Ovis aries: one gene and its partners. The protein of the gene in region 1 purifies or fractionates together with the protein of each later gene. This does not show direct contact. Links are inferred from orthologs where the notes say so. Each region holds a gene or a part of one and is shown in the gene's direction. Other genes may lie near its edges.

Region 1 (4,056 bases):
TCTCCTCAGGGTCAGAGGCTGGGGGAGGAGGGGGAGCAGACGTGGTTACAGTGAAGGGATTGGTTAAGGGGGAATGAAGGGCTTCTAAGTCGGGGTAGAGAGGGGCAACAAGACCTCCAACCTAGTTATATGGGGTGGGGGTATCAAAAGGGAGTAGATGGAGGGAGGGAAAGGAAGAAAAGCAGATCTTATTAGAGTGGAGAGTGCTGGGAGGAGAGGTGGTTGGTGAAGGACAAAGAGGCTGGGACATGGAGGCTTAGGAAAGCGAAAAGAAAGTAAAGCATATAAGGGCATGAAGGAAGACTTAGGAGGAGTTAGGAAGGACACAGTAGTGTGTGAGTGTGTGCTGGGAGGGTTAGGTTTACAAGCAGAAGAAAATGTAGAAAGAAAGAGAAGATAAGGGATACTGGGGCTGGAGGCAAGTTTGCAAGAAGAGGTGGTGGGGGCGGAACGGAAGGGCGAGATGGCAGGTTTACAAGAGGAAGGAAGAGATAGGAGGGGACACCAGGGGTCCCCAGCACCCTACAGTTCCCACTAACAACCAGGTACCCTTAGCAACCCGGACAGCGGTATTCTAAGTCCCTAGTAACAAGGGTCCTTAGCAACTAAGGTGCGAGACACACGCTATCATTAGTCACTTAGGGGAAGTGGCAAACGGACCCTTAAAACCTCGAGACCCAGAAACCCACCAATCTATCCAGCAATATATATCACAACGGCTCCCTGAACCTCATTCCCCTCCATGCAGCCCCCATCTCCTGCCCCACCACTCCCGCCCTCGGGCCCCGGGGCCTGCAGCCCTCAGCCAGGCCCCGGCGCGGCCCGACCCTCCCACCAGGGCCCCCGACTCACGATCCGGATCGGCCATGGGCGCGGGGCGGGGGCCCTCGGGACTGTCACCGACTGCTCTATCCCGTGACGGCACCGGAAACAGGAGGGGGGCAGAGATAGGTCAAAGAACTACAACTCCCAGGAGGCATAGAAAAACGTCCGGAGCGTGCCCCTCTGAGGTAAGAAGAGACACGCGAGAGCCGGACTACGAATCCCAGAGTGCCTCGCGTCCGCAGCCATGTTGGTAAAGGGCGCGCGGAATGAGTGGGAAAGGGTAGAGAGTCGCAGTCCATCTGAATACTCTGATTGGTCACGGTGTAGTATGAGGGCGGGGCGCTTACTATTTAGCCGACTCTGATTGGATGAGTCCGGGGGGAGTGTTGGGGAATTCCCAGCAGGGCGGAAGCGCCAGAATTCCAGGCAGAGCCCAGCGACTGGCGGGCAGCCGCTGGGGTCCCCTGAGGCTTTGGGGGCTATGGCCGGGGTCGCGTGTTTGGGGAAAGCTGCGGACGCCGATGAATGGTGCGACAGCGGCCTGGGCTCTCTGGGTCCGGACGCGGCGGCCCCTGGAGGACCTGGGCTAGGCGCGGAGCTGGGCCCGGGGCTGTCGTGGGCGCCCCTCGTTTTCGGCTACGTCACTGAGGATGGCGACACGTGAGTGAACCTTAGCCTGCCACACCGAGCCTTAGGATGATCCCACATCTGATTCCCTGTTAGTCCCTGATACTGATTTTCCAACCTCTTAATCCTAAATCTGTCTTCTAATGCTTACTCTGACCTCTAACCCCCGAGTCTAACCCTTGATAAAATCAATTTCCAAGCTAGTTTTTATCATAACCCCGTCCTTTCTGAAACTTTGGCCCTCAGAGTTTCATATCCATTGACTAATTCCACATTCAAAACTCAATTTGAGCTTCCTGACCCCAGTCCTGAGACCTATCTTAAAACTATAGCTCACAGGCTCCTTCTGACATCTCACCTCCAAATATGATCTTTGATCCTTAGCTCCTAATTTAGGAGCTTTAAATTTTGATTTCCAAAATTAACATTTGGCTTTTGACTCTAAGATCTCCCACTTTCTGAGCACTGATCTTCAAATCCTACATTGAAAGAGAAAATGTAAACTCTATGACAGCAAGGATTCATCTGTTAAACAAGTATTTATCTAGCACCTACAGCGTTTCAGGCCCAGTTGTAGATGCTGGTGATAAAGCAGTGAAGAAAGCACAACAACTTATGCCTTGTGGAGCTTACGTTCTAGTGTGGGGGGTCTATAAATGGAAGGGCAGACAGACTGACAGGAAGGAAGAAAGGAACAGTAGGAGAAACAAAAAAGAAAGAGAGAAGGAAAGAAAGAAACAGAGAGCCGTATAGACACAAAGTAAGAAAGAGAGAGGAGAGAGAGAAGAAACAGGCAGAAAAACGAACGAAAGAAAAATGGTGTGTCAGAAGACAGGAATTTCCTTGGTGAAAAATAAAGCAGGAAAGAATGAGACAAGTAGATTATCTGGGGAGAGTATTCCAGGTAGAAGGAACGACGTCATAAAGACCTAATTGAGGGAATGTACCCGGGGTTTTTGTGTGTTGTGTTTACTGCCGTAGCCCCAGTGACAGAACGGTGTTTGACCCATAGGAGGCGCTCAAGAAACACCGGTCTTCCCAGAGAACCAGCTGTGCTTTCATTTATTTTCTCTCGTCTCTTTTTTTGCTTTCTGTTGTGTTTATCTCTGTTTTGACTTTCGTTATTTACTTTCTTCTGCTTACTTTGAGTTTATTTTTGTTCTTTTTCTAGTTTCTTAAGGTGAAAGCTGAGGTCATTGATTTGAGGCCTTCCTATTTTTCTAATATAGGATTCATGTGAATTTCCCGAAGTAGTGCGTGAGCTGTATCTCATCACTTCTAATGTGCTGTGCTTTCATTTCCACTTAATTCAGTATAGTTTCTAATTTCTCCTTTGATTTCTTCTTTGGGCGGTGGATTATTTAGGAGTATGTTATTTAGTTTCCAGATATTCCGAATACCTTCCTTTTATTGGTTTGTAGTTAAATTCTATTGTGTGTGCAGTTGAAAAGAATGTCTGGTATCTTGTTGTTGAGTGTAGTTCTCCAGATGTCAGTTAGAGGTTGTATGGGTTTCTTTTCTAAAACTTTTATTGATTTACTTTTGGCTGTGCTTCGTCTTTCTTGCTGCCCACGGACTTTCTCTAGTTGCGGTGTGAGGGCCTCTCATTTTGGTGGTTTCTCTTGTTGCGGAGCAGTGTCTCTAGGGCACAGGCGCAGTAGTTGCTTCGCGTTGGTTTAGTTTCCCCGAGGCATGTGGGATCTTCCCGGATTAAAGACTGAGCCTGTGTTCCCTACCTTGGCAGGTGGATTCTTTAGCACTAGACCTGTAAGTCCTGTGCTGGTTTCTTTGGTTCTTCTCTTTTCCAAGTCTATTATATCCTTGCTGGTAATTTCTCTCTACTTGATCTATCAGTTACTGAGAGTAAGGTATTGAAATCTTTAATAATAATTGTGGGTTTCCTTGTTGTTTTATCAGGTTTTCCTTCATGAGACTGGATGCTCTGTTATAAGGAGTGCAAATGTTTAGGTTTATTGTGTCCTCTTCCTGAACTGACCTCTTTATCATTGTGAAATAATCTGCACTATCCCAGGTAATATTCCTTGCTCTGAAATCTTACTCTTATTTTAAAACACTCCTACTTACTTTTGACTGACAGGCGTTAGTATGGTATATCTTTTTCCATCTTTTTATTCTTAACTTAGTTTTAAATTTATTTGAAAAGCTGTTACTTGTATAGTTAGGTTTTGCTTTTTAAAAAAAAATGTTTATTTTTAATTTATTTGGCTGCATCGGCTCTAGTTGCAGCATGTGGGATCTTGTTCCCTGACCAGGGATTGAACCCTGGCCCTCTGCATTGGAAGTGCAACGTCTTAACCACTAAACCATCAGGGAAGACCCTAGGTTTTGCTTTTTTATCCACTCTGACAGCTTCTCCTTTTTTAAAATTTGTGTTTATTTAGCTGTTTCTTTTTGGCTGCACTGGGTCTTGGTTGCTGCACACAGGCTTTGTCTAGTTGTGGCGAGCGGGGTATGCTCTCTAGCTGTGCTGTGCAGGCTTCGCATAGTGGTGGTCTCACTTGTTGGGGAGCACGGGCTCTAGAGCACACAGGCAGTTGTGGCACGTGGCGTTAGTTGCCCCACGGCATGTGGAATCTTCCCAGA
Region 2 (3,515 bases), on another chromosome or scaffold:
TCCTGGACCGCTTGGGTAACTCTGTTTTGCACCTCGCTGCCAAAGAAGGACATGATAAAATTCTCGGTATTTTACTCAAGCACAAGAAGGCAGCACAACTTATTGACCACCCCAACGGGGAAGGTAAGAGACAATCACACATCGTGGTGTAACCTCTGTCTGCTTTCCAAACAATAAGTAGCTACCAGATAAATGTGCCTATTTGATCTGCACCCCAAAGTGCTTTCCTTAACCACTGGGAATTCATCGTCTCTCATGGAAATTTCCATTGCTGGCTGCAGCTAATTCCTTTAAAGATGATCTGGAATAGTTAGTAGGAGGGAAAAGCAAGACCTGAGCAAACACCATTCTGGATATGTATAAAAAGTATTAGCTGCTCAGTCATGTCTGACTATCTGCGATCCCATGGACTGTAGCCCGCCAGGCTACACATTCTCTAGGCAAGATACTGGAGTGGGTTATCATTCCTTTCTCCTGACCCAGGGATCAAACCTGGGTCTCCTGCATTGCAGGCAGATTCTTTACCACCAGGGAAGCCCCCTCAATATGTAGAAAGCATCCTTTATTCAGAGAATGTTTATGTGCTCTCATTGTCTCTAGAACACAAAAGGAGTCTGGGGTTTACATGCAGGACAGCTGACTTACAGCACCTATAAAGACTGGAGTAGAGACCCATGCTGACCCCCAACAGCCTTGCCTCCCCGTGACCATCCCTATGCTTGGGCCGTAGGTCTGAATGCCATACATGTAGCCATGATGAGCAACAGCTTGCCGTGTCTGCTGCTGCTGATGGCTGCGGGGGCCGACGTCAACGCCCAGGAGCGGAAGTCGGGGCGCACGGCCCTACACCTGGCTGTGGAGCATGACAACATCTCCTTGGCTGGCTGCCTGCTCCTGGAGGTGAGGGATGCACTTACCTGCCTTCTCATTCAATTCCCAAGGGTATCTGGGAAAATCTTTTCAAAGAACAACTTGGCTAACAGCTCATCTCCCTACCGTCGGCTCTACCTGTGTAGTATCTACTGGAGGCTTCAGAATAGCCGCTCAGGCCCTCCAGTATTCCCCTGCCCGGCATCTCTGAGGATCTCTGCACTGGCAGAGCCTGCCTAGAATACAGCTGGGCCTGTAGCATGACCTGGAGAGCCACGCATGCAGGGGAGGTGGGGACAGAAGGGCGAGAGGACCTTGAGCTAACCGTTTTCTGTGTGGGCGGATTTTAGGGTGATGCCCACGTGGACAGCACCACTTATGACGGAACTACACCCCTGCACATAGCAGCCGGGAGAGGGTCCACCAGGCTGGCGGCTCTTCTCAAAGCAGCAGGTAAGGCAGCCTGGTAGTCAGCCCTAGAGAATGTCATCAGGAAGGCAAACCCAGACTGCTAGAGCAGCCAGGCCGCCTCCTTAACCTACGGACGTGCTGCAGAAAGGCACAAATAAATAAAAGTGGCTGCAAATCCCACTTAGCAGCCATGAAGGCTCTGTTTGTATTAGTAACCCTGGGTGCCATGCTGATGGTCATGTTAGTTTTTACTCACCTGTTTTGGATTTGGATTAAGTTGAGTCCCATGACAGGAGATCCTAAGGTTGAACTGAATTCCTTGTAGAATTTGGAGCAGTATCAACCTTAAGGTCCCATCACAGGTCCTCAGAAGGAAGCGTTTATTGGTATAATAAAGCACTTGAAGACTTCCATTTGTAAGAAAGGTCTCTGAGAAGCCAAAATGATAGGGACAAACACATGGGCCGTGTGTCAAGTGCTGTCATGTACCAAACCCTAAAAACTGCTAGCTTCTGTTGGGCTAGGTATTTCACACTGTCTCATTTAATCTTACTTAATCTGCAGTGACCCTTTGAGACACATCCCATTACTATTCCCATTTTATAGCCAAGGAAACAGACTGGTGAGACTTTTGCATCCCAGTTCCTGGACCCCAGTAAGGGGCAGAGCTTGAGTCACATCTTGTCACCTTGAACTTCCAGACTCTTCTCTCTCTGTTTCTCTCCCCTGCTTGGCTCAAGGATGTAGAGTGTTATTCCAATTCAACCCTTTCATCCTGTGAGATAAAGGAAAATTATTCCTGCTCATCTTTGAATCTCCACTGCCTTCTACATTTAGAACCTCAAAAATGTTTAATTGTAATTGGTATCTCAAGCCTGTCCTGGCATATTTGATTTACTTACAAGGTTATTGTTTTTAGAAAATAAATGCCTCACCAATTCAAGAAAATAGCAGATTAAATACCTTCTTTAAAAAAAACACAACTGAGACTAGGAAAAATATAAGAACCTTTTCTTTGGCACCGTATTTTTCTGACATCATATCCCAAATAAGCAGCCTTCTCTTTTCTCCTTCATCAAGCTGAACATTCCCATGAACAAGAGACGGTGATTGTAGTGTTTATGGTTAGTTTGGGGAGTCACTGGTTATGATAATAAAATGCCTTCAGACTAGAAGCTATGACCTTTCAATAACTACACATCCTACCAGAAGGTCTTCTTGGTGCTTTGCATTTAAGGATCAGTGCCATAACCCAGGAATAAAACACAACAGGTTGGCACTAGACAGAAAGCAGCTTTGCTCTTTTGAGCAAACAGGTGAAGACACAGAAACACGAGGTGCCAGGCATCAAGTTGAACACATGGGGCCTTAAGCCTAAGGGTGTGCCCTTGTTGTTTAGTCGCTAAGTCATGTCCAACTCTTTGTGACCTCACGGACTGTAACCCACCAGGCTCCTCTGTCCGTGGGATTTCCCAGGCAAGAACACTGGAGTTGGCTGCCATTTCTTCTCCAGGGGGTCTTCCCGACCCAGGGTTGGAACCTTGTCTCCTGAGCCACCAGGTAGCCCCTATAAACCACCGTCCTCAGTCCTCAGGTTAAAGGTGCATCGCTCACAACTATCCTATGGGGTCAAATGTGAGCGTCAGTCCAAGTCTGTGTTTTTGACAGTATCCGTGGCTATACAGAGCTATCATTGGTCACCTTTACAGTCAAGATATATTAGAATTTAAAGGCAGGTTTCTGGATATTTTAGTGGAAATGTATTTTATATATTCATAGAATCTGACCCCTGTGGGAAGTGAGGAGCCGAGAAGATGTGGGTTTTACCTAATGCTGTGTGACTTGGCTCCACAGGAGCAGATCCCCTGGTGGAGAACTTCGAGCCTCTGTACGACCTGGATGACTCCTGGGATGAGGATGGAGAGGATGAAGGGGTCGTACCAGGAACCACTCCTCTGGACATGGCCTCCAGCTGGCAGGTGAGCCCCGCTCCACCAGCGTGTTGGCTGCCTCGGAGGCGGCAAGTGGTCTTCCTCAGTCTTTATTCCCCAAAGCCCGCACCTGGTATTTTTAAAAGACAGGCTGCTTGTCACGAGCTGTATTTATCTTGAAAAGCCTATCCGCTAAAGATCTAGGTCAGCAGAGTTCTGAACATAAAAGCGTATGCCTAATCAGATCAGAGTTAGATGAGAGAAACTCAGAATTCACAAAGCGTGTTGCCCATTCTGAACTCA
Region 3 (3,515 bases), on another chromosome or scaffold:
GGCAACTCCGCCATTTACTGATCTCTGGTTTTCTTCTTGGTACAATGAAGATTGTTCAGCGTGTTCAGTCTCACTGTCAGGCATTGCATAATGCAGTGTCCCTATGAAGATATCCATCCATGAACCACAACCAAGGCCCTTTTAGAGTCATCTCCCCCTTCCTCCACCCCAGCAGCTGATAGAACTCCGATGAATGTGTTTGTGCTTGAAACTTTTATCATCTCTTTACAAAGCTTTTCTAGTTTAAACTAGTCTTCTCGTAATTACCAAAGTTTTGTATTTGCCTCCATAGAATTTACCCATGGAGTAAATTCTAGTGTAGTTCTAGATTGTTATATCCCAAAAGGTTTTACCACTACACCAGTGACCCCAAATGTGATTAGCTATAAGAATCACCTGGTGACTTCCCTGCTACCCTTCCTGTTTCCCCCTTCATTACCCTCTGCTTGCAGAGAATATCTGCTGTGGGGGATTATTGTTACTCATGTGTAAGTGGTGCCTTTTAAGCAGAAACAAGGAGATTGCATAAACAATACCTTTTGAATGATCCATTGTCACTGATATTCCTTTTTTATTTAGGCACTTTGTGGGAATTTTGAATAAGACCTCTGGCCAGATGGAAGTATATGATGCTGAATTGTTCAACATGCAGCCACTGTTTTCAGGTAGGTTCTAGTTATGAAGGCTCAAGGAAAGGCTGAATATTTTAGGTTTGCTGGATGCATCAGTTTGACTTGTAAACTACATTTTGTAGCTGTTTTTTTAAAGGTTTTTTTTTTTTTCACTTGACAAAGTTTTAAAAGTGCTTTTACTCAACAAATATTTATTGATGACCTACTATGCCCCAGGCGCAAGTTAGGGGCTGTGAATATACCAAAACAGACACAGATTCTGTCCCTACAATGTTTACAGATTGAAGATCAAAATCTAATCTTAGTTTAAGCAGGTTGAGCAATGATCAGAGCAGAGTAATGGAGGGCATCTCTGATACTCTTTTTCATCGAGGGCCTTTCTTAATTCTTAATGGTTCTAGTTGGGGTAGAGGTTTCAGAGTCTCTGGTAGGTTGTAGAAGTTGCTTATAGGTTGGACAAAGGTTGATGCAAAGTCTCTACACTTTGTAATTTGGGAAGAGATCTATTTTTTCTCTAACCCACTGGGAGAAGTTGCAATACCTCTCTTCTCTGGCATTTTAGAATGTATTGGGCTAGAGTGGGATCTTTGAAAATGATAGATAAGATGGTCAAACTCAAGGGGCTCCTGTTTCTAAATCTTAAATACTGAGAACCATGGTTGGGGAGGGAATTAGATAAGGATTATTAGGATCATTGTGAATCTGCTTGATACCTTCAGAGGCATTAGTTCTGTTCTGGCAAAGCAGTGGTCTCAGCGTTTCTTGTAAAGAACCAGAAGTACTTCTGAGAAACATACATAATATACAAAAAATATGAGATTTTGCATATAATTTTAAAGGGCTCTTACATCCCAAAGGTCATCTGTGAATTTCCTAGGGGTCCATAGTCTTCTAGGTGAAGAATTTCCTCAAACATATAAATTATCCGTCAAATGCTCTTCTAACTTCCAATGAACAAAGAAAATTGTTCATTAATTTGTTATTTAAACACATTTGTAAATATTGATTAATTCCAACCAGCATATATAAAAAAGACACACACACATTTATTGGGTCCTTACTATGCTCTGGGCACTGTTGTAAGCACTTTCAATGCATTATATCGCTTACTTCACTTTTTAATCAATGATGAACCTGAAACAGAAGTTAAATGACTTTGGCAGGAACATAAGTAAGAGACCTGGGATTTAAATGCAAGCAAGGTCACTTCAAAGCTTATACTCCTGTCCACTAGATTATTGCCCCTTATATGAATACTCTGGGAGATCAGAGAGCTTCATGTAAAATAATACATATCTCATGTTTATGCCTACTTTTAGGTCTTAAAATTTAAAAAAAAATTTTTTTATTGAAGCATAGTTGATTTCTAGTATTTTGTTAGTTTCAGGTGTATGGCATATGATATATATATATTGTTTTTTTGGCAGATGATATTCCAGTATAGCTTATTACAAGCTATTTGGTAAAATTCCCTGTGCTATACAGTAAATTCATGTCACTTATCTATTTTATGTATAGTAGTTTATATCCCGGAGAAGGCAGTGGCAACCCACTCCAGTACTCTTGCCTGGAAAATCCCATGGACGGAGGAGCCTGGTAGGCTCCAGTCCATGGTGTTGCGAAGAGTTGGACACGACTGAGCGACTTCACTTTCACTTTTCACTTTCGTGCATTGGAGAAGGCAATGGCAACCCACTCCAGTGTTCTTGCCTGGAGAATCCCGGGGACGACGGAGCCTGGTGGACTGCCATCTATGGGGTTGCACAGAGTCGGACATGACTGAAGCAACTTAGCAGCTGTAGCAGCAGCAGTTTATATCTATTTTTAATCCCATACTCCTAATTTGTACCTCCCCTACATCCAGAGGCTCGTTGGCTCAGATCATGTGCCAGGCTGTGGTATGGAGAGCCCATGCAAACCTTCCTTTCCTTTCACATCCCTTTGAATGGGCAGTGGTGGGGTCCCAACCCTACTACCTGGTTACCTGGAAATCTTTCTTCTGCCAATTTTCAGTTAGTTTTCCACGAGAACTGTTCCGCATATAGATGTATTTTTGATGTATTTGTCAACGGGAGGTGATCCCCGTGTCCTCCTCCTCCTCCTCCTCCTCGGCCTTCCTGATCCCTCCTCCTCATCCCTTTTACAAGAAGGGCAAAGCTGTATACTGGAAAGAGCATAGGACTTAGTTTCTAATCTCATCTGCATTGCCTAGGGCAAGTCATTTCGCCTGGAGGCCTCATGTTTCCTTGGATCCCTTCACTTGATTCCATAGTTTATTCTCCAGACCCTCTATCTGTATACTGAAGCTTCATATTGAATGTTCATAGTACACATGCATGTTAAGCTCTGGGAAGTCCTGTAGTAGAGAAATCTGGTTTTCTTAGATTAACTGTTAACCAAATATTAAACACTCTTACTGTCTGCAGGCAATGGAGAAGGCAGTGGCAACCCACTCCAGTACTGTTGCCTGGAAAATCCCATGGACGGAGGAGCCTGGTGAGCTACAGTCCATAGGGTTGCTAAGAGTTGGACACGACTGAGCGACTTCACTTTCACTTTTCACTTTCATGCATTGGAGAAGGAAATGGCAACCCACTCCAGTGTTCTTACCTAGAGAATCCCAGGGACAGGGGAACCTGGTGGACTGCCGTCTCTGGGGTCGCACAGAGTCGGATGCAACTGAAGCGGCTTAGCAGCTGTCAGCAGGCAAACTTAACAGTTTGCTTTTTTTCTTTGTTTTATGTTTTGTAGATGAATCAGTTGAGAGTGAATCAACACTGGATAGTCAAGCCAAATCTTTCAGAGAAAAGGTAAGTGTGACAGAGCTAAGATGTGAAGCCTAAAGTGAGTTCCTTCCAGGCCTTGAGTTTCTCCATCAGTAAT

What was found. Proteins that work in one complex are often made in the same cells at the same time.
Region 2: the proteins of NFKBIB (region 1) and NFKB1 purify together in Homo sapiens (affinity purification with mass spectrometry; 7 studies listed by BioGRID and IntAct, counting the BioPlex papers as one, with this or other methods). This does not show direct contact. The link is inferred for Ovis aries from reciprocal best matches to the Homo sapiens genes NFKBIB and NFKB1.
Region 3: the proteins of NFKBIB (region 1) and POLR1E purify together in Homo sapiens (affinity purification with mass spectrometry; 3 studies listed by BioGRID and IntAct, counting the BioPlex papers as one, with this or other methods). This does not show direct contact. The link is inferred for Ovis aries from reciprocal best matches to the Homo sapiens genes NFKBIB and POLR1E.

Annotation. Positions count from the first base shown.
Region 1 is NC_056067.1:47,982,198-47,986,253, forward strand, and holds the start of NFKBIB (NF-kappa-B inhibitor beta), read left to right. Parts: upstream 1-1,241; 5' UTR 1,242-1,306; coding exon 1,307-1,485; intron 1,486-3,713; exon of another isoform or gene 3,714-3,786; intron 3,787-4,056. Other genes in the region: SIRT2 (NAD-dependent protein deacetylase sirtuin-2), read right to left, coding at 1-18, 853-868. UniProt on the Homo sapiens protein: Inhibits NF-kappa-B by complexing with and trapping it in the cytoplasm.
Region 2 is NC_056059.1:22,544,760-22,548,274, reverse strand, and holds part of NFKB1 (nuclear factor NF-kappa-B p105 subunit), read left to right. Parts: coding exon 1-123; exon of another isoform or gene 124-730; coding exon 731-900; exon of another isoform or gene 901-1,220; coding exon 1,221-1,323; exon of another isoform or gene 1,324-2,056; intron 2,057-3,108; exon of another isoform or gene 3,109-3,135; coding exon 3,136-3,260; exon of another isoform or gene 3,261-3,342; intron 3,343-3,515.
Region 3 is NC_056055.1:51,256,213-51,259,727, reverse strand, and holds part of POLR1E (DNA-directed RNA polymerase I subunit RPA49), read left to right. Parts: intron 1-579; coding exon 580-665; intron 666-3,383; coding exon 3,384-3,442; intron 3,443-3,515. UniProt on the Homo sapiens protein: Component of RNA polymerase I (Pol I), a DNA-dependent RNA polymerase which synthesizes ribosomal RNA precursors using the four ribonucleoside triphosphates as substrates.